3 linked regions of the Yarrowia lipolytica genome follow. The protein of the gene in region 1 purifies or fractionates together with the protein of each later gene. This does not show direct contact. Links are inferred from orthologs where the notes say so. Each region holds a gene or a part of one and is shown in the gene's direction. Other genes may lie near its edges. The genes, in order: YALI1_F38756g, YALI1_E19494g and YALI1_C06870g.

What was found.
Region 2: the proteins of YALI1_F38756g (region 1) and YALI1_E19494g purify together in Saccharomyces cerevisiae (affinity purification with western blotting; 3 studies listed by BioGRID, with this or other methods). This does not show direct contact. The link is inferred for Yarrowia lipolytica from reciprocal best matches to the Saccharomyces cerevisiae genes MOT1 and NCB2.
Region 3: the proteins of YALI1_F38756g (region 1) and YALI1_C06870g purify together in Saccharomyces cerevisiae (affinity purification with western blotting; 3 studies listed by BioGRID, with this or other methods). This does not show direct contact. The link is inferred for Yarrowia lipolytica from reciprocal best matches to the Saccharomyces cerevisiae genes MOT1 and TAF6.

Annotation. Positions count from the first base shown.
Region 1 is NC_090775.1:3,868,880-3,877,855, reverse strand, and holds YALI1_F38756g (uncharacterized protein), read left to right. Parts: upstream 1-2,157; coding exon 2,158-7,797; downstream 7,798-8,976. Other genes in the region: YALI1_F38776g (uncharacterized protein), read right to left, coding at 1-211; YALI1_F38684g (uncharacterized protein), read right to left, coding at 8,061-8,976. UniProt on the Saccharomyces cerevisiae protein: Regulates transcription in association with TATA binding protein (TBP). Removes TBP from the TATA box via its C-terminal ATPase activity. Both transcription activation and repression require its ATPase activity.
Region 2 is NC_090774.1:1,946,842-1,951,032, forward strand, and holds YALI1_E19494g (uncharacterized protein), read left to right. Parts: upstream 1-2,582; coding exon 2,583-2,631; intron 2,632-2,717; coding exon 2,718-3,088; downstream 3,089-4,191. Other genes in the region: YALI1_E19483g (uncharacterized protein), read right to left, coding at 1-1,496; YALI1_E19488g (uncharacterized protein), read left to right, coding at 1,969-2,586; YALI1_E19508g (uncharacterized protein), read left to right, coding at 3,989-4,191. UniProt on the Saccharomyces cerevisiae protein: Component of the NC2 complex which represses RNA polymerase II transcription through binding to SPT15/TBP and thereby inhibiting the assembly of the preinitiation complex.
Region 3 is NC_090772.1:684,436-689,302, reverse strand, and holds YALI1_C06870g (uncharacterized protein), read left to right. Parts: upstream 1-2,217; coding exon 2,218-3,666; downstream 3,667-4,867. Other genes in the region: YALI1_C06917g (uncharacterized protein), read left to right, coding at 1-445.

The DNA of each region.
Region 1 (8,976 bases):
TGGTCTCGGTGTCAAAGAAGGCAGAGGCAAACTGCTCTCCCTCTCGCAGAGTGGACTCGATGAGCTGGAACTTGGACACGTTAGAAAGGAAATCGGCGGGGTTGGCTCCGTAAGGATTAGTCTGCTCGCCGGTGTGACCGACCTCGACTCCAACGTTGGAGGGCTTCTCAGGAGCAGCGTTAGCGGCGGGGGCGTTATCTGTTGCGCACATTTTTTTAGCGATTCTTGGTTGTGTTAGAGGAGAGGTGGATGAGAATCTATCTGTCAGAAGAAGAAAGAAAAAAAGAGAGACTAAACTGGGGGACCCCAAAGTCTTTTATATGCTCGATGCTCTCTTACTATGACTAATTGCTACTGCTCCCAATGACACATTTTAGGCTTTTTTTCCTGACCCTGCCAAATAAGCTCACACTTGAAATTTTTCACCACTTGTAAAAAGCGATGTGCTTTATTCGAGCGTTTATTGCTCACAGGTTTGATGGACAGGGTCTAGAACTGATAGGTGTATATCACCGCAGAAAAGTGCAATCTGGACCAGGCATGCCGGAATAGATTCTGGCCATCAAGACAATCCGACAACACTCTTATACGCTTGTGAATAAACTCCTGGAGGTCGACTCATTGTCTGGTTCCCTGTGCACCACCAGTGCACACCATGTCACAGCAGTATACAGTATAGCTAATCTAGTCGATAACGTGAACGTGCCAAACGTGAGCCATAGCATAGAGACAGGGAGAAAACAAGAGGTGACTGAACACTCGTCGACCACCTGTAAGCCATGACTTACCCAATCCGACTATCAAGTATACTCTAGATGACCACATTTTCCGAATTCCTCACCCCTCACCCACCGCGCATCACGTTGTTCCATGGTTTCCATCTCGCTCACGCAGCACTTTAATTTTGCATAATCGCGGGCGGAGCGCTTGGGACTTGGTGGAGTAATAAACGGAGTGAGCTGCGTACGACCAAGTAAGTACGCTACGCAGACGTTCTCTCTAGAGCAAGGAACAAAAACTGGTTATAGCTATGGTAGCTGTAAATGGTATTAGGCGACTTGGCACAAAAAAAATTTCCACACCAAATAACTCCCTTCTTTGTAAGACTCATACTTGTACTTGTAATTTCCGGCTATCATGTTTCTGATTGTTCAGCTCAATTGGAACCCTAAAGGCGGCTCTTTTTTTCTGCCAGCCGTTGTAGCATCATCATGTCGCAGCTCAAGGTCCCGCGTAAAGCTCCTTAGTAAAGCAAATTAGTGGGCTGGGTCGGCTCAGACGGGATTATCTGCCGGGTAACACCTTCAATGGAGGGCCCGCAGCACACATGCACTCTCAAATCGACCAATGTATGTGTATTCGGAGTCTCGAGCAAGAAATCCTGTGGCGTCGACAAAAAATCATTGTTGCGCACTTCCGACAGGAAACCATGAACAAATGCTCGCCGTATGATTGGACAGGGTGTTGCTCCAACTGCTTTCGTTTTAGTACGGTTCTAAAAAACAGCCATTGGGTTACGTAAGCGCAATCTTGATGGGGTTACCCGGCCCAGAAAATATATCAAACTTTTCCCTAGAACTCTATTGGCGCCGTCGTTACGCATATAAAAGTAGTGTACTTAACGATGGGGGCCGCCAGTTTGCAAAAATTGGATTTCGGCAAAACTGTCGGTCAAGGTGTGAGTATTGGCGAAAAATGCGGCGGGGAAGATTCTAAGGCGGTTTAAAGAGGCATACAGCCCATCAGCAACGGAAAACCGAGAGAAATTGGCTGGATACACCTGTCCCACGATTACTACGCGTATCGTGGGTGGGAACTCTAAATGACTTGAGTACTAACGCGAGAACCAAGAATATTTCGACCAGACGAAACGATACCAGCGTGCAACGACGATTCAGTGTGATTTAGGACGCAACAACAGAGATTGTGATTATAGGTGAGTTCTCGGAAGAAGTGTGTGGGAGACAAGTGGAGTGTTCTGCTCAAGGCACGTTGGTTGGTGTCAATGGAGCCTTAATTTTGAGTCTATCAGAGGGTAGACCTATCGACCAAGATGACGAACAAAAGAAGATGAGCGATAGGAGAGATTGACAGGCAGAATTGAGTCGTCTTTTTTTGCCGCATGTCTGTCTCAATTGGTCCCTGCAGACACATCACATGTCTCATGTATTGTGCTTACTAACCCAGATGTCTCGATTAGATCGTCTTGTATTGCTACTAGACACAGGCTCATCTGCATTTGTGCGTAATACTGCGGCTGACCAGCTGGCAGATGTTCAAAAGAGCCATCCCGAAGAACTATTCAATCTACTCGGGCGAGTTTTCCCGTTTCTAAAGTCGAAAAAATGGGACACACGAATTGCGGCGGCTCGTGCCATTGGAGGCATTGTAGCCAACTGTCCTCAATGGGACCCCAATGCGGAGGAGGCTTCCGATGCTGCTTTGGCTGATAACTTGGCTGTCAAGAGTGAGGTCAAAACCGAGGATGGTGCTGAATCGGCTTCAGCCAACCTCGACATTTCTCTGCTATCAGATGGCATGCTCAATTTCGAGACATTTGATCTGGAGAAGGTCATCCAGTTTGGAGGCAAACTGCTGGGAAGCGGAGGAAAAGAGTATGAGGACATGTACGCCAACCTGGATCCCATTGAGCGTCTTCAGAAGCAAAAGAAGACGTTAAATAGCCGGCTTGGCTTGGCAGGTCAGTACATGGAGGACGGTCTTCTGGACGAGTCGGATGTCAAGGTGGAAGCCAATGTGGTGGAGAAGGTCAAAGTGGAGACTCCAGAAATCAAGACCGAGGTCAAGACAGAAACCACCCCCACTCCTCCGGCAGACGGACACTCTTCAGCTCGTCTGAGAGCCATGGCGAAGAGACGAGCCAAGTTACAAAAGGGCAACAATGCGAACAAAGTGCGGATTGTGGACGTCAGTGGCAAGAAGGAGGATGGAGGAAAGACTGTTATCAAAGATGACACCCCTGGAGGCATTCACACCTCTGAAAACGATGGCAAATTACTGGTTGAAGGCATTTCCCCCATTGTTCAGCTCGGAGCAGGCAAAGTTTGGCCCTTTGAGGGTCTTTGTGAACTTCTAATGGTCGACCTGTTCGACGATAACTGGGAGACTCGACATGGAGCCGCACTGGGACTGAGAGAAGTGGTTAAGGTGCACGGAAAGGGCGCTGGACGGGTACGGGGTTCCTCCGTGGAGGAGAATGACGCTCGAAACCGGCAGTGGATCGAAGATTTGGCATGTAGACTGTGCTGTATCTTTGCTCTGGACAGATTTGGCGATTACGTGGGTGACCAGGTCGTTGCTCCTGTTCGAGAGTCCTCTGGCCAGACCCTTGGTGCTCTTCTGTTGCATATGGACGAGAAGACGATCAGACCTACCTTCACTGTTTTGCATGGACTGGTGCTACAAAAGTATAACAAACCTGGTTCCATGACAGTATGGGAAGCTCGACACGGAGGAATGCTTGGACTGAGATATCTGGTGTCTGTGCGAACTGACCTGCTGTTCAAAGACAAGGCCTATCTCGACGATCTCTATGAAGCCGTTCTGAGTGGCCTCAGAGAGTCTGATGATGACGTGCAGGCAGTTTCGGCCGCCACACTAATCCCCGTCATCTCAGAGTACATCACTCTAAGACCTGATCGTATCAATGAGCTCATGAGCGTGCTTTGGGAGTGTTTAACCGATCTCAGAGACGATCTGAGTGCATCTATCGGTAACGTGATGGATCTCCTCGGCAAGTTGTGCGCCATTCCTCGGGTTTTGGATGTTCTCCAGATCAATGCCGAAATGGACCCTAGTCAAGACTTCAGAAACCTGGTCCCCAGACTGTATCCTTTCTTCCGACACAGCATCACTAATGTGCGAAAGAGCGTCTTGACGACCATGTTGACTCTTTTAGGTGTTGGTAAGGGCGATGGGAAGACTCCCTGGGTGACCACTCACCTGTTGAGACTCGTGTTTCAGGTTCTTTTGGTTGAGCAGAACCCTTCGGTGACAGCTCTGGCACACGAGCTTTGGACGGCCCTGCTGGCTGCTGCTCCCAGCGAAGAACTCACCAAATTCCCATTTGTGGGCTATTTATCTCTACTTATGACTCCCATTGGTGTGGCTCGTCATTCTCACAAGATGGAAACCTCTCTGTTTGTCAAGCCCAGTGGAGGTATTTACTCTGTCGATAAGAACACCAAGCGAAAGACGACAACTGACAAGGAGACCGATTGGGGCAGTCAGCAACTGGTGGTCAACATTGATAACCCCATTTTGCTTGGAGATATCAGTATTGTTCCTTACGATGTTTTCCTGCGAATCAGAGTTACGTCTGCCGGTGCATTTGCCCAGCTACTTCGACTTGGAGACGAGTCTCTTCTGCAAGGTCTCCAACCTCGTCTGGACAAGTATGCTCGATCTAAGTACTCCACCCAGCGATTAGTTGCTGCTCTTATCTTTGACGAATGTGGGCCTTCTGCCAAGCTGTTTCTTCCCTCTGTTTCTGAGCTCCTTGTTGCTCCTCCTCCTGCTGCCATGTACGCCGACATTACACCTTTCCTCAAGGCTGTTCGAACGCAGGCTCTTTCTGCTCTGCGAGTCTTCGCTGACGCTGGAGGAGCCAGCACTGCTGCCAAGCTTCCTCAGCTGCCTATTCTGGTACAGGGAGAAGCTGACGCTGGACCCGAGGCCTTTTCTTTGGAGCAGGCTCAGAAGCTGATTGACGTGGACGTGCCGAAGCTCAGAAAGACTATTTCCACTACCGCTCGACTTTCTTCCGGCCAGCTCATGGAGGACTCGCTCCTGGCTCTTTCTCAGGCCATGGAGGAAGCGCACGAGGCGAAGACCCAGAGAGATGTGTCTATCCAGAGCACGTTGGCATCTGCCGTTATTCATATTGGCGGCCTTCCTCCCAAGCTCAACGGAGTCATCAGAGCTCTAATGGACTCCATCAAGGGTGAGGAGCATGTCATCTTGCAGGATCGAGCTGCTGCAACGATTGTGCATCTGGTTGATTTGTTTGGAGCTGCTGGCAAGACCGGAGCCACCGACAAGATCATCAAGAACCTGTGTGCCTTCCTGTGTGTCGACACCTCCGAGACACCTGAATTTCACTTCAACGAAAAGGTGGAGTCTAACATTCTGTCCCTGCGAAAGGAGGAAGCCAAGACCGACCCTGCTGACGTCATTGCTCACCAGCGAGAAGTCAAGGCAGCAAGAATCAAGCGAGGGGGTGCCCAGACAGCTCTTCAGGGCATGTTGGTCGAGTTTGGAGACCATGTGTTTGAAAAGTGCAAAAAGCTTGAGTCCATCATGTTCGACCCTCTCAAGGTGGAGCTCAACTCGGACAGTGTCTATGCTCCAGAAGACACCTCTGGCCAGTCTGTGGTTGACTCTCTGAGTATTATCCGAGCTCTGGTGCCCTGTCTGTCTACTAACTTGCATTCGAAGATTATGGAGATTCTGCCCAGCGTCTTCACCCACCTGGGAAGCAAGTTTGCCGTGGTGCGATACGCTGCTGCGAAGTGTTTTGCCACCATTTGTGCCACTCTTCCTCTTCAGGCCATTCCGGAGCTGGTTCGAATCGTCCTGCCTATGCTCAACGACCCTCTGTCTCTCCACAGACGCCAGGGAGCTGTCGAGTGCATCTACCACCTCGCTGCCATCATGGGCAACGATGTTCTTCCCTACGTTGTGTTTTTGATTGTTCCTATTCTGGGTCGTATGTCAGATGCCGATCAGGACGTGCGTCTGATTGCCACCACCACTTTTGCCCAGATCGTCAAGCTGGTTCCTCTCGAAAGTGGTATCCCGGACCCCGAAGGCATGTCCAAGGAACTGCTTGAGGGTCGAGACAAGGAGCGAGAGTTCCTGCAGCAGATGCTGGACGTGTCCAAGATCAAACCCTTCCCTCTGCCTGTCAGCATTAAGGCAACGCTGCGAAAGTATCAGCAAGACGGAGTCAACTGGCTGGCCTTCCTCAACAAGTATCAACTTCACGGTATTCTGTGTGACGATATGGGTCTCGGAAAGACTCTGCAGACCATTTGTATTGTGTCGTCTGATCATTATCTGCGTGCTGAAAAGTACAAGGAGCTGGAGGGCAAGTACAAGGAGCTGGAGAGCGCCGGAAACACGGACGCTGCCTCTCTGGACGGCCTCAAGAGCGAAATGGCGCAAGTCAGAGCTCTCCCTTCGCTCATTGTCTGTCCCCCCACCCTCATTGGACATTGGAAACACGAGCTCAACACCTATGCCCCCTTCCTGTCTGTTCTCATGTACGCTGGACATCCCTCTCAGCGATACCTGCATGCCGACTCTCTGCACAAGTACGATATTGTGGTCACTTCCTACGATATCTGTCGAAACGACAATGCTGTCTTCACCAAACAGCAATACAACTACTGTGTTCTTGACGAGGGCCATATCATCAAGAACCCCCAGTCCAGACTCACCCAGAGCGTTAAAAAGATCCACGCCAACCACCGTCTGATTCTGTCAGGTACTCCCATCCAGAACAATGTTCTTGAGTTGTGGTCGTTGTTCGACTTCCTCATGCCCGGTTTCCTGGGTACCGAGAAGGTTTTCAATGAGCGGTTTGCCAAGCCTATTGCTTCTTCTAGAAACTCCAAGTCTTCTTCCAAGGAGCAGGAAGCGGGAGCTCTGGCTTTGGAGGCTCTGCATAAGCAGGTTTTGCCCTTCCTGCTGCGACGTCTCAAGGAGGACGTGCTGTCTGATCTGCCCCCTAAGATCATCCAGGACTACTACTGCGAACTATCCGAGCTACAGCGAGAGCTGTACGGCGACTTCGCCAAGAAGCAAAAGTCTGTGGTCGAAAACGAAATCACCACAGAGACGGTCGAGTCCAAGCAGCACGTGTTCCAGGCTCTACAGTACATGCGAAAGCTGTGCAACCACCCTGCTCTGGTTCTTAATGAGCGGCATCCAAAGTTTAGCAAGATCATGAAGCAGTTTGGAGGAGCTACAGGTGTCAAATCCATCAACAATGCTCCCAAGCTGCAGGCTCTTCAGCGACTTTTGTTGGATTGTGGTATCGGAGAGACCAAGGGAGCTGAGGCTAAGAATGGCACCAGCAAGAAGCAACATTCTGAAGGCGATGTCCCTGTTATTTCTCAGCACCGAGCTCTCATTTTCTGTCAGCTCAAGGACATGCTGGACATTGTTGAGAACGAGCTCTTTAAGAAGTATATGCCTACAGTTACGTTTATGCGACTGGACGGATCTACTGAAGCTCGACATCGACACGATATTGTCCAGAAGTTCAACGCTGATCCTTCCATCGATGTTTTGCTTCTTACCACCCATGTGGGTGGCTTGGGCCTCAACCTGACTGGTGCTGATACCGTCATCTTTGTGGAACACGACTGGAACCCAATGAACGATCTGCAGGCCATGGACCGAGCCCATCGAATCGGCCAGAAGAAGGTGGTCAACGTCTACCGACTCATCACCCGAAACACTCTTGAGGAGAAGATTATGGGTCTGCAAAAGTTCAAGCTCAACATTGCGTCCACGGTCATCAACCAGCAGAACTCCGGTCTCTCTTCCATGGACACTGATCAACTGCTTGATCTCTTTAATGTCGACGACGTGGCAGCGGCTGGTAACGGAACCGCAGCGGCGGATGCAAACGCCGAGGACGCCGGTTTGGATGCCACTGGATCGCTTGGCAAGAAGAACCCTGCTTTGGCCGATCTCGGCGAGTTGTGGGACGAAGGAGAGTACACCGAGGAGTACAACCTGGACAACTTCATCCAGTCTCTCAAGTAAAGGGCATTGTAAGGAGATGTATATTAGCTATATATGTACTATTAATGATTATTTAATGATTTTACGTGTCGTGACAGTAGGAGAATGCCTTTACATTACAGAAGCCCACTGTGACACTACAAGTAGCCTCTTTTTGCCTATACTGTACGAGTAATGTGTTGAATGAGTGAGATCATTCTACAGTTAACACAAAAGAGTCTATATCTACAGCACCGATGGGCCCATATATACAAATACATTATCTACATTATATATCTATCGTATTACTCATGGTATCGTGTATCACCAAGAAGCATGACCTGGGAGGGTAGTCGTCCAGGAACAGGAGTCAGAATCTTCACCTTGTTCTTCTCCTCGTCCACCTCCGTCACGTGAAGGTAACCTTGGACCTCTGAGTCGAGAATCTCTTTTTCGGACGAGCCAGGAACAGCGTGCATGACCGTCAGTACTGTGTTTGGTAGAATGTTGGCCTCTGCGACCCTCTCCAGCATATCCGCCTTGTCATCGTCAAACTGTGTGGAAGGCTTGATCTTGTAAACGTGGAGAGTAGAGAAATCGACAGTGACGATTCGTGGACCAAGTTTCATATCTTTAGCATCTCCATAAAAATACTGCTGAATTTCCTGTTGCTGGGCATCTCGGTTGTAGCTCTCATCGTCATCCATGCAAGCAAATGCTGGTACCTTAACTACTGTGGGACCGGAGGCTCCCACTGGGTATTTCTTCATGAGGTCTGCATAAAGTCGATCGTTGCCAATAACGACAATGACGTTGACTCCAAAGTCGCTCACCACGTCCGTTAGCAGGTTAACTTCGATTGTTTTGTTTTGGTTGCCGGGTACTCGAGGAGTGTCGATGATGAGACCAGACTTTTGCGCCTCAACGTCGTGTGCAAGTTTGGACAGGACGGGAACTGCTAGCTGAGCCACAGACCGCTTGAAGAGCTTGAAGTTATCCGTAGTCTTCTCAAGTCCAAAGTACTTGGAGAGCAAAATAAGAGGCTGTAGTTTCTGAGGGCCTGAAATTTCCGATGATCCGAATCCTCCATATGTTTCCACATCTAGCAGATCTGTAATTTGGACAGCATGCACTCCTCCAGGAGGTCCCAGGTTCACCGAAGTAGGATCCAAAGAAATATATATGGGCTTTCGATCACATTTTGTAGCATAGGCTAACAAA
Region 2 (4,191 bases), on another chromosome or scaffold:
TCCATCTTTTCGGCCAGAGTGGCAGACTCGTCGTCATCGGACTCGTCGCTTCCTACACCGTTCTCCAGCTGTGAATAGTCGTCTCCAGCAGCAATGATAGCGTCCTCCTCGTTGTAGGACACGGGCACAGTTCGCTCCTCGGTGTAGTGGTTTGCGGCGTTTTTGGGGTCGTGCACCACCGTCATGGTGGGCTCGGTCTCCAGAGCAGCCAGAGTCACGTGTGCAAACTGGGCCTGGGCCCGCTCGGTGTACGAGTAGTAGGCCTCCTTGGCGGTGAGCGCGATGGCGTCGATGACGAGGTTCTGGCCGGCAGCCTTAGTGCCCCGCTCCAGGTCCAGCGATGCAAACGAGGACTTGGTGACAATGCTCTTGCGCTTTCCCTTCTTGCTGTTGGGGGTGGATCCGTTAGTCTGGGCGAGCTGGAAGAACTCGGCGGCTCCTCCCTCTGTCAGGGCGGTGAGAATGTCGCCGTTCATGGAGACACGGTGGGCACCCGACTCGGCCATGAGCACCAGCACAATTTTCTTCTGAGCCACGTTAACCACGTTGATGAGACGGTCGCCAGCAACGGCAGCAACAAGGTCACCTCGAACACACAGCTCGGTGACAGTAGAGGTGTGCGAGGGGATATCAAACAGAGCCGAGTCAAACGAGACGGCCGACGAGTCATCGCCCTGGGGGCCGTAGACGGCGATGTTGTGGGTGGCCAGCAGCACGTTACCCGAGGGCAGAACGGCCACCAGCTTGGCGCCGGTCTTGTCCACAGATCGTTCCACAGAAGAGCCCTTCCACACGTTCAAAAGACCTCGGTTGTCAAGCGAGTAGGTGGTGCCGGAGTTGGCGTCGACGTCAAAGTCGGCCACAGGCAGAGAATGGCCGCCTCGGAGAGCAGACACAAGCTTGGCCTGGGCGGGAGAAAAAGTGAGAATGTCGCCCCGGTTGGTTCCCACAGAAACTAGATATTCCTCGGAAGAAGCAGCCGCCGAGTCCTGGGTCTTGGTCTTCTTGCGTCGAGAAGACGACGAGGCGCCCTCGCCAACGTTCTTGGTCCACTTGAGAGCAGTCACAGTGGTGCCCTTCTCCAACACAAACTCCACGGGCTGGAGACTGGCATTGGCGCCTGAGACCGCCTGGACACGGATCTTGTGCTGGTTAAGCGCACTTGTGACGCTGGCGTACTGCGTGAGAGCGGGATCGAATCGAGACAGCTGTTCCGACATGATGTGTGTGAGTTGTGGTGGAATTATCTGGCTTGCCTGATGGTTGTCCAAGTGCAGGAAAAAATAATTTAAACTCTGAATTTTTTTTCTGCATGAAAATTGACCGAGACTTGTATTGTAACAAGTACATCTGGTGTGGTAGAAGAACAGAGCAGAGAGCGTTGGAGTTGCGGGGAAGCGTGGAAACGGGGAGTTTTGGGGGGTTCCGACTCTTCGGTGTCGACCCGAAACGTGCTCGACACAAAATATCTCCTCGTATTTGCCACTATATGTCATTCTCGATGATCCACCGTAAACGAGGTTACTTTAGCATCACAACGGGGAATCGAACTGGCGCGCTGTCGAACGGTAGAGGAGTTGGCAGGCGGCGTTGGTTCGATTTTGACCTGTGCCCGGAATGGGAAACATTTAGTTGTCGTGTAAATCCTCCAAGACGAGACGGTCGCAACAAACCAACTCAACCATAGTACACCATTGTACAGGAGCTGTACAGTAGCTACACGCCCATAACGATCCCACCAATACCAGATTGACTCATGCACTAGGGTTAGTCACCGACAACACATAATCTGTTTGTCTCCAAATGCTCAACGAAATACCACACTTTGGACCAAACCGGTCCGATAGTCGTGATAAACACCCCCGGTTTACTCACTAGCCGAAAAACTGGACCCCTTGCAAGTATTTGTTGGCGTTTTAACAGCTATGTAACCCCGATGGTCTAAACTGAGCTTGTTCATTGTCACCAATGTTGTGGTTCGGAGTGCAACAGAACAACCCAAAGTCGGTTCTTGTCGCCAACAGCCGGCTGTTCCCTCCTTGGTCTCCCCCCTCCCTCCCCGCCCCCACAAAATTGCTCTGCGACGTCTCATTGAGTCTGAGCTACGTCTCATTGAGTCTGTGCTACGTCTCATCGAGTGTTTGCCATCACGTGACGGGCCCAAAAAAAAAAGGTTTCTCTTTGAGTTCCCGCATTTTAAGCTCATTCTGGAACCTTAAACGGGGTAGTAGTTGGATGATGGATGAGAATGAATTGACTGACAAACTTGTACGTGTTTTGAGGGAACAGGGTTGGTTGCCCAAAGGCACCAAAATCAACAGATTAAGAGTGGGAAATACAATTCTTGGGGCGTGGCTCTGGGGGGGGTATGTAGGATCACGTGACCTGGCTGGATCGGTGGCGCCGTTCTCCCAGTGCGACTTGCACTTTCCTGTAGGGTGGCTATCACTGTTTACGACTCTTGAACTCTATCTTTGGGAGCTCGAAAAATATATAAACATGCATAAAGCATACAAGGCGCGTAAGAGCGACGAGTCCACCACGGCACAACCACACGTTTACCACAACATACACGCAGTGAAATGAGCGACAGAGAAACTTCAGGGAATGACGACCTTTCGTTGCCCAAGGGTGAGTAGAGCCGGAGGGGGGGTTGTGTTTGTGTTTGTGTTTCTGTTTGTGGGGGGTTGAAAGTTGTGGGTCGGTTATTAACCCAGCCACGGTGCAGAAGATAGTGAGCGAAATCATTCCGTCAGACCTGGCGTTTGCCAAGGACACCCGCGACGTGTTGATCGAGTGCTGCATCGAGTTCATCATGATGCTGAGCACCGAAAGCAACGAGATTGCCGAGAAGGAGAGCAAGAAGACGATTGCGCCGGAACATGTCATCAAGGCTCTGCAGGAGCTGGGATTCATAGACTACATTGAGCCCATCAAGGACCTGATTGTGGAGCACAAGGAGGCGCTCAAGTCGCGGGAGAAGAAGGTTGGAAAGCTGGAGCAGTCGGGCATGACCGAGGAGGAGCTGTTGAGAAAGCAGGAGGAAATGTTTGCTGCCGCCAGAAGCAAGCTCAACAACAACGCATAGGGTGGGGGAGGGGGACAATGAGGTGGCGACACCAAACGGTTGGATAATGGGATAATGGGATAAATGGGCTGGTTAGGACAATGTGTGCTACATACAGGATAGTCTACGTGTGGTCGATGTGACGACAGTTGCATCCACGAAACGTACTAATTGATACTGTGGTGTTGGCTCTATGTCAACATCTTTTGGCATGGTGATCTAGAGTAGCGGCCGAGCCGGTTCCGCGGGTGTATATAGATGTATCATATTTGATTTGCATAGGCACCTTTTGGATTGGATTGGATTGGATTTCACCAAGACCAGTCCTTTTTTTTTTTTTTTTTTTTTTTTTTTGAAAAAACAAAAAAGGGAAAATATTTTTTTCTTCTGCATTTATTTCCAAAAAAACTCGGCTGATGAACAAATAGTTGAGTTTACAGTTGAGATTTACTTGACAAAAACATTGTTTTTGGCCTCGATCTGAGACACGCTACAACTCGGCGAGCATCGATATTTTCACAGATTGGACCCTGTACATATAAGCACAGTACCAACAGCCCCTCTGACACCTCTCAAGCGTTTGTAGCTCTTTTCAACCAGCCATTTTAGCACATGTCTGTGTCTGCGACTTTGGTTTCTTTTCTGAAAAACTATTGCAACTTCTTGGGCAACAGCAAGCAGTGACCGCGAAAATGCACGTATAACAAAGGGTACAGGAGTCCAAATCTATTTTTTGAAAGTAAAAAATAAAATGCCAGACTCGTGTGTATCCGACGATACAGCTCTCGCGCCCTGTGCATTGTATTATATGTTTCTACAGCCAAACCAAAAGTGCCCCAGCAGCCTACATTGAATTTCCCTTGATGCGTTACCCTACCTTCAACGCTAAGGTTAACGTAACCCATCAAAATATAGGGAGGTATGGAAAAAAAAAAAGGTAGCATTACATTGCACCGAGTGTCCACGCTATCTGAGAACGACAAATACAGCAAGATGGACACAAACGCGCTGTACTCGTGCTTCGAGGCCACCACCAACGGCAACCCCAACACCATCAAGCAGGCCGAGGCCCAGCTCAAGGAGGTGGACAAGATGCCCGGCTTCATCCACAGCTGTCTGGACAT
Region 3 (4,867 bases), on another chromosome or scaffold:
TGAGAGAGATGCGACCAGAGAACATGAGCGACGAGCATATGAGGGAGACGAGGCTGGAGAGGCTGAGACGGAAAGCAGTACTCCAGCTGCCAGTACTGCAAACACTGATATCATTCCCAAGCCTGTGATTGTGGTTACTCCTCCAGACAGCAAATCCCCCACAACTGCTTACCACACGACGCTGCAGATCAACGACTTCCCTCAGCAGGCTCGATACAGAGCCAGTAGTAACACTTCTGTCAGTCGTGTTATTGCCAACACTGGTTGCAGTATCACTGCTAAGGGCGAGTACTATCCTCCTGGTCGTATTCCCGGACCCAAGGATGAACCCAAGCTGTTTATTCTCATTGAGGGTACCAGTGAGCGGGCGGTGAAACTGGCTCATCATGAGTTGTCGGAGCTTCTGGTGAGTGGTTTGGTTAAGGGCGCTAGGTATCAGGTGTAGACGATACCAAGGGGGGGTCAAACTTTGTAGGACCGAGTATGGAATGGTCCATGTACGAGTAGGAAGATGTATATATTATAACGATTGACGAATGAAGCGGTTGAGAGGCAGAAAGTATTCCACTTGTTCCAGTATCTACGGTACAATAACTAAGGAGTAACCATTAGTTCTCAGTCAGACTTGGCTATGGTGTCATGGTGTACACACTATTGGACTGTTGCTGAGTTTTCATTTGGAGATCTCTCAGGAGCTGGATCTTTTCTCATGCTCTCGTTGTATAACGATGTTTCAACCTGAACCCCGTTATCACCACCCTTCACCATTGCACCCCACCAATCGTTAAAATAATACATTCCTATATAATCCTTCTAGTCTCAGATGGCGCGTAACCATCCACATGAGTCGTCCTAGCCCCTTGTTGTTATTGTTGAGTCGTTGAGCATCTCTCCACAAGAAAGCATCGTGGAGACAATGTAGCCGCAGACAACACAATGGCAACACTGCAGAATCTCGGGAATCACAGTAATCACATGAGTCGCCCACTAATCATAAATCAATGGCTCCTCGACTTTCTCTGTCTTCATCAATTCGGTCCGGTTCTTAGCCTTCTCCTTGGCCAGCTGCTGACTGAGTTTGCCACCCTTATTCTGGCCCTGGGCCCGGGCCTCTGCGGCGCGTGCGGCGGCCTCCTTGGCGTCCAGCGTTTCGGCTGTGCCTCCCAGAGTGTGTCCTGGCGAGTTGTATGTGTTTGTTGGCTGTTTGGGCGGTTGTTTCTTGAGTGGGATGTTTTCCGTCTTTGCTGGTTTGGCAGGCTTAGCCGCTGGTGGTGCTCGTCCTGCGGTCCTGCCCGACGTGGACGCGGGCTCGCTCTTGCTGAAACACGAACCCATCGTTGTAGTCGGCGTCAAGTGTGTGTGGAGTGATGATGTGCGGGTTTAAGAGTGGAGTGCATGACCATGCGTGGAGGGGAATAGGGGTAGTTGCTGTGGGGGGGAGGAGGAGTGAGAGAAAAAAAGAGAAAAGTGCGATGGGAATAAAAGAGTGGTAAAAACTGACTGTATTTTTCAGAATTCAAATTGATGAAGATTTCGTCATGTTTGAAACACCTGATGATTTCGATAGAGCAGCCCATTGAACCTTGATAGTGGCATTTGAAATGAGTGTAGAAAAGGCAGTGGTGGACTTATAGATCCAGGAACTAAAAATATACATCAATGGTAGTTAGTTTTACAGATTTATCTATGTAGAAATGTGATATGACCAGAATTTCAAGAGATATTGACACTCTCTACTTACTTGACAGGAGGTTAATATTTCAACTATTTCAGAGGCTATTGTTGAAACTTTCAAGTATAACAATAGCTCGAAAGAGTGCATTGTTCTTGCTCCATTTTCAACAGATTTAAATGAAATTAAAAAGGAGAGTATTTTAATTCTGGTGAAAGTCAAATACATGTCTAATATTACAATAGGAGCCATTACTCCTGGACTTTTGGCTACCCCAAAACCAACTCTTCGTGCAAAAATTAAGGTTCCATGACTACCTTATACAACGCCCTCATAACCACTCTTTAATTCTCTTTTTTGACAGATATTTCTTTTGACGAGCAACTCACAAACTTCCTTAGCTGATTCCATCTACTTACCGTCGATATACCGCTCTCACAACCCCCCGATATCGCAGAAGACAAACTCCCCATCAACACTTTCCAAACTCTAATTCCAACCTCCATCATCACAAGGTCAATATCACCACTTGCAACCCACACAACATGTCCATCAACTTTTCCCACACCCTGTGGTCTCCCAGTGACACGGTCAAAGACGTGGCCGAGACTCTGGGCATCTCCAATCTGCCCGATGACGTGGCCAAAACGCTTGCCATGGACGTGGAATACCGAATCCACGAGGTGATTGAACAGGCGCTCAAGTTCATGCGACACTCGAAACGAACGACTCTGGGGACCTCCGACGTGGGCGAGGCTCTTCGAGCGCTCAACGTGGAGCCCCTTTACGGCTACGAGGGCGTGGCCAACGAAAAAAGCGTGTCTTACAGAGAAGCCATCACCGGACCAGGACAAACGCTGTACTATGTGGATGACGATGAGGTGGACTTTGAACGGCTCATCAACCAACCGCTGCCTAAGGTGCCTCGTGCCACATCACTGACAGCTCACTGGGTGGCGATCGATGGAGTGCAACCTGCCATCCCACAAAACCCCCTGGCCAGCGACATCAGAGCCATGAGTGTTGATCTGAGAGGCGCCCAGACCACCAACAACTCGATCGCCACCATCAACGGCTCGTCGGACGTCAAGGTGAAGCCTCTCGTCAAACATGTGCTGTCCAAGGAGCTGCAGCTGTACTTTGACCGTGTGGTGGGTGCACTTATGGACGGCTCGGAAGTGGTTGTCACTGCTACCGGAGACGAGAAGGAGGCTGCGGTCAAGCAACATGCGGCTGCTCTTTCTTCTCTGCGAAACGACCCCGGATTCCACCAGTTGGTGCCCTACTTTGTGCAGTTTGTGGCCGAAAAAGTCACACATAACCTCAAGAACCTGCCCGTGCTCTACACTATGCTGCAGGTAATTGACGCACTGCTGACTAACCCCACGCTGTTCATGGACCCCTACATTCACTCACTGATGCCCTCTGTGCTGACTTTGATTCTCGCGAAGAAGATTGGTCCCAAGCCCGGCCATGAGGACATTGTGGAGGACTCGCAGGTGACCATTTCTCAGTACTCGATTCGTGACTTTGCTGCATCTCTTCTGGCACGAATCTGCGACAAATACAACGAGATCTACGCTTCTCTCAAGCCCAGAGCCATCCGAACGCTACTCAAGGCATTCATGGACCCCACCAAGCCGATACCCACTCTCTATGGCGCTCTCCAGGGCATTCAGGCGCTTGGTAATGAGGCCGTTCGTGTGGTCATTGTAGGCAACCTGAAGCTGTGGAGTGATACACTTTACAACCGGCTGTTGAAGTCGTCGTCGGACTCTACTTTGGAGCTGGAGCAGCTCAACAAGTGTTTGATTTCGGCTCTGCGACAGATCAAGGGCCAGGCCATCTACCCCGATCAAGAGCTCACTGAGCAGGAGATTGATCGATGCAAGGAGCTGGTGGGAGACAAGGTGTATGAACTGATTGAGAAGCTGGACGATTCACAGCAGGTTGTTCATGGATTGGTGGATTTCGAGGGTAAGCAGGTGGAGTAATGGGTGGATAGCGAGCAAGAGAGAGAACTGCACGCGCATGGAAAAGGGGGACCCCAGTGTATAGATAGTTCTGAATGTATTTTTTATATGATCACGGTGGAGGAATATGAAGGATGGGTGTATACGACTATCTGTGAGTTCCTAGGGATTGTACTGTATGATCGTGCTACGAGCATTATAACCTTGATGAGATGGTCTAGTGGTTTTGTAGACCCGAATGTCGTAATTTCATGATATCGTACTTGTAGTTCAGCATGTGAGTAAGAGGAAGCCAGTTGGTCGAAATCGTATTTGGACTCTAGCTACTGTACATACCAACTAAAGCATAGTCCTTGATACTGTGTAGAAGGCTTTTTTGTCTTCTCTACGAAGCTACCAGTACATTCTTGACTTATAAACGGTGAGAACAGTGTTATCTAAACTTGTTTCAACATTGTCGACCAGATCTAGCCAAAATACGATCATAGAGCACGTGACTGTTTCAGCTCGGTGAGATTGATGAAGGGACCCCCGCCCATTCTGGTTACCTGTCTTCGATCTTGCTCTCAACTTCCTGAGTCGATGGTTGCTACAGTATCGGATCAGGGTGGTGAGCGAGGAGCAGGTGAGCACTTGGACAAACTAATTAGTGGCTTGTTGTTTGCCAGCAATTATGTATACCTGCAAACCTCTCTTAGACGGGGTATACTTTCTGCGCACCTGCAAGCAAGAGTGGTGATAGACATGGGCTCTTTTATGGCGCTTTTATGGCTCTTTTGGGAGTATTCATGTCTCACAATTGCATCTGGTGTCTTCCCATCGTCTTACAATGGCGTTAAACCAATTGGCATGGGCATAGAAGAGCAGCAAGAGATACAACTGATAGTGCTCTCTGGTTCTGGTCTGGTGTCGTACTTACTGATTTCTTCATCGCATGGTACTTTGCTGAGCTCAAACGAAGTGAGCGTTGACCAGAATCATTCTATATCTACTAACGAGACAGACATGGAGATATTTCGAGTGAGATGATGGTTCAACACAATGCACCACCTTCTGCCGCTATGAGCTGCTTGGATATTGAGTGGTTTTGCACCCTTGTCAAGTGTTGTACCTGGTGTCTCTTGTCTTTGAGAGCTCAACTGTGGAGGGACTGTCAAAAGGATACAAGCTAAGGGTGCTGTGCCCATTGGACCTGTTGCGCCAGTGTAGCACTGAACAGTGT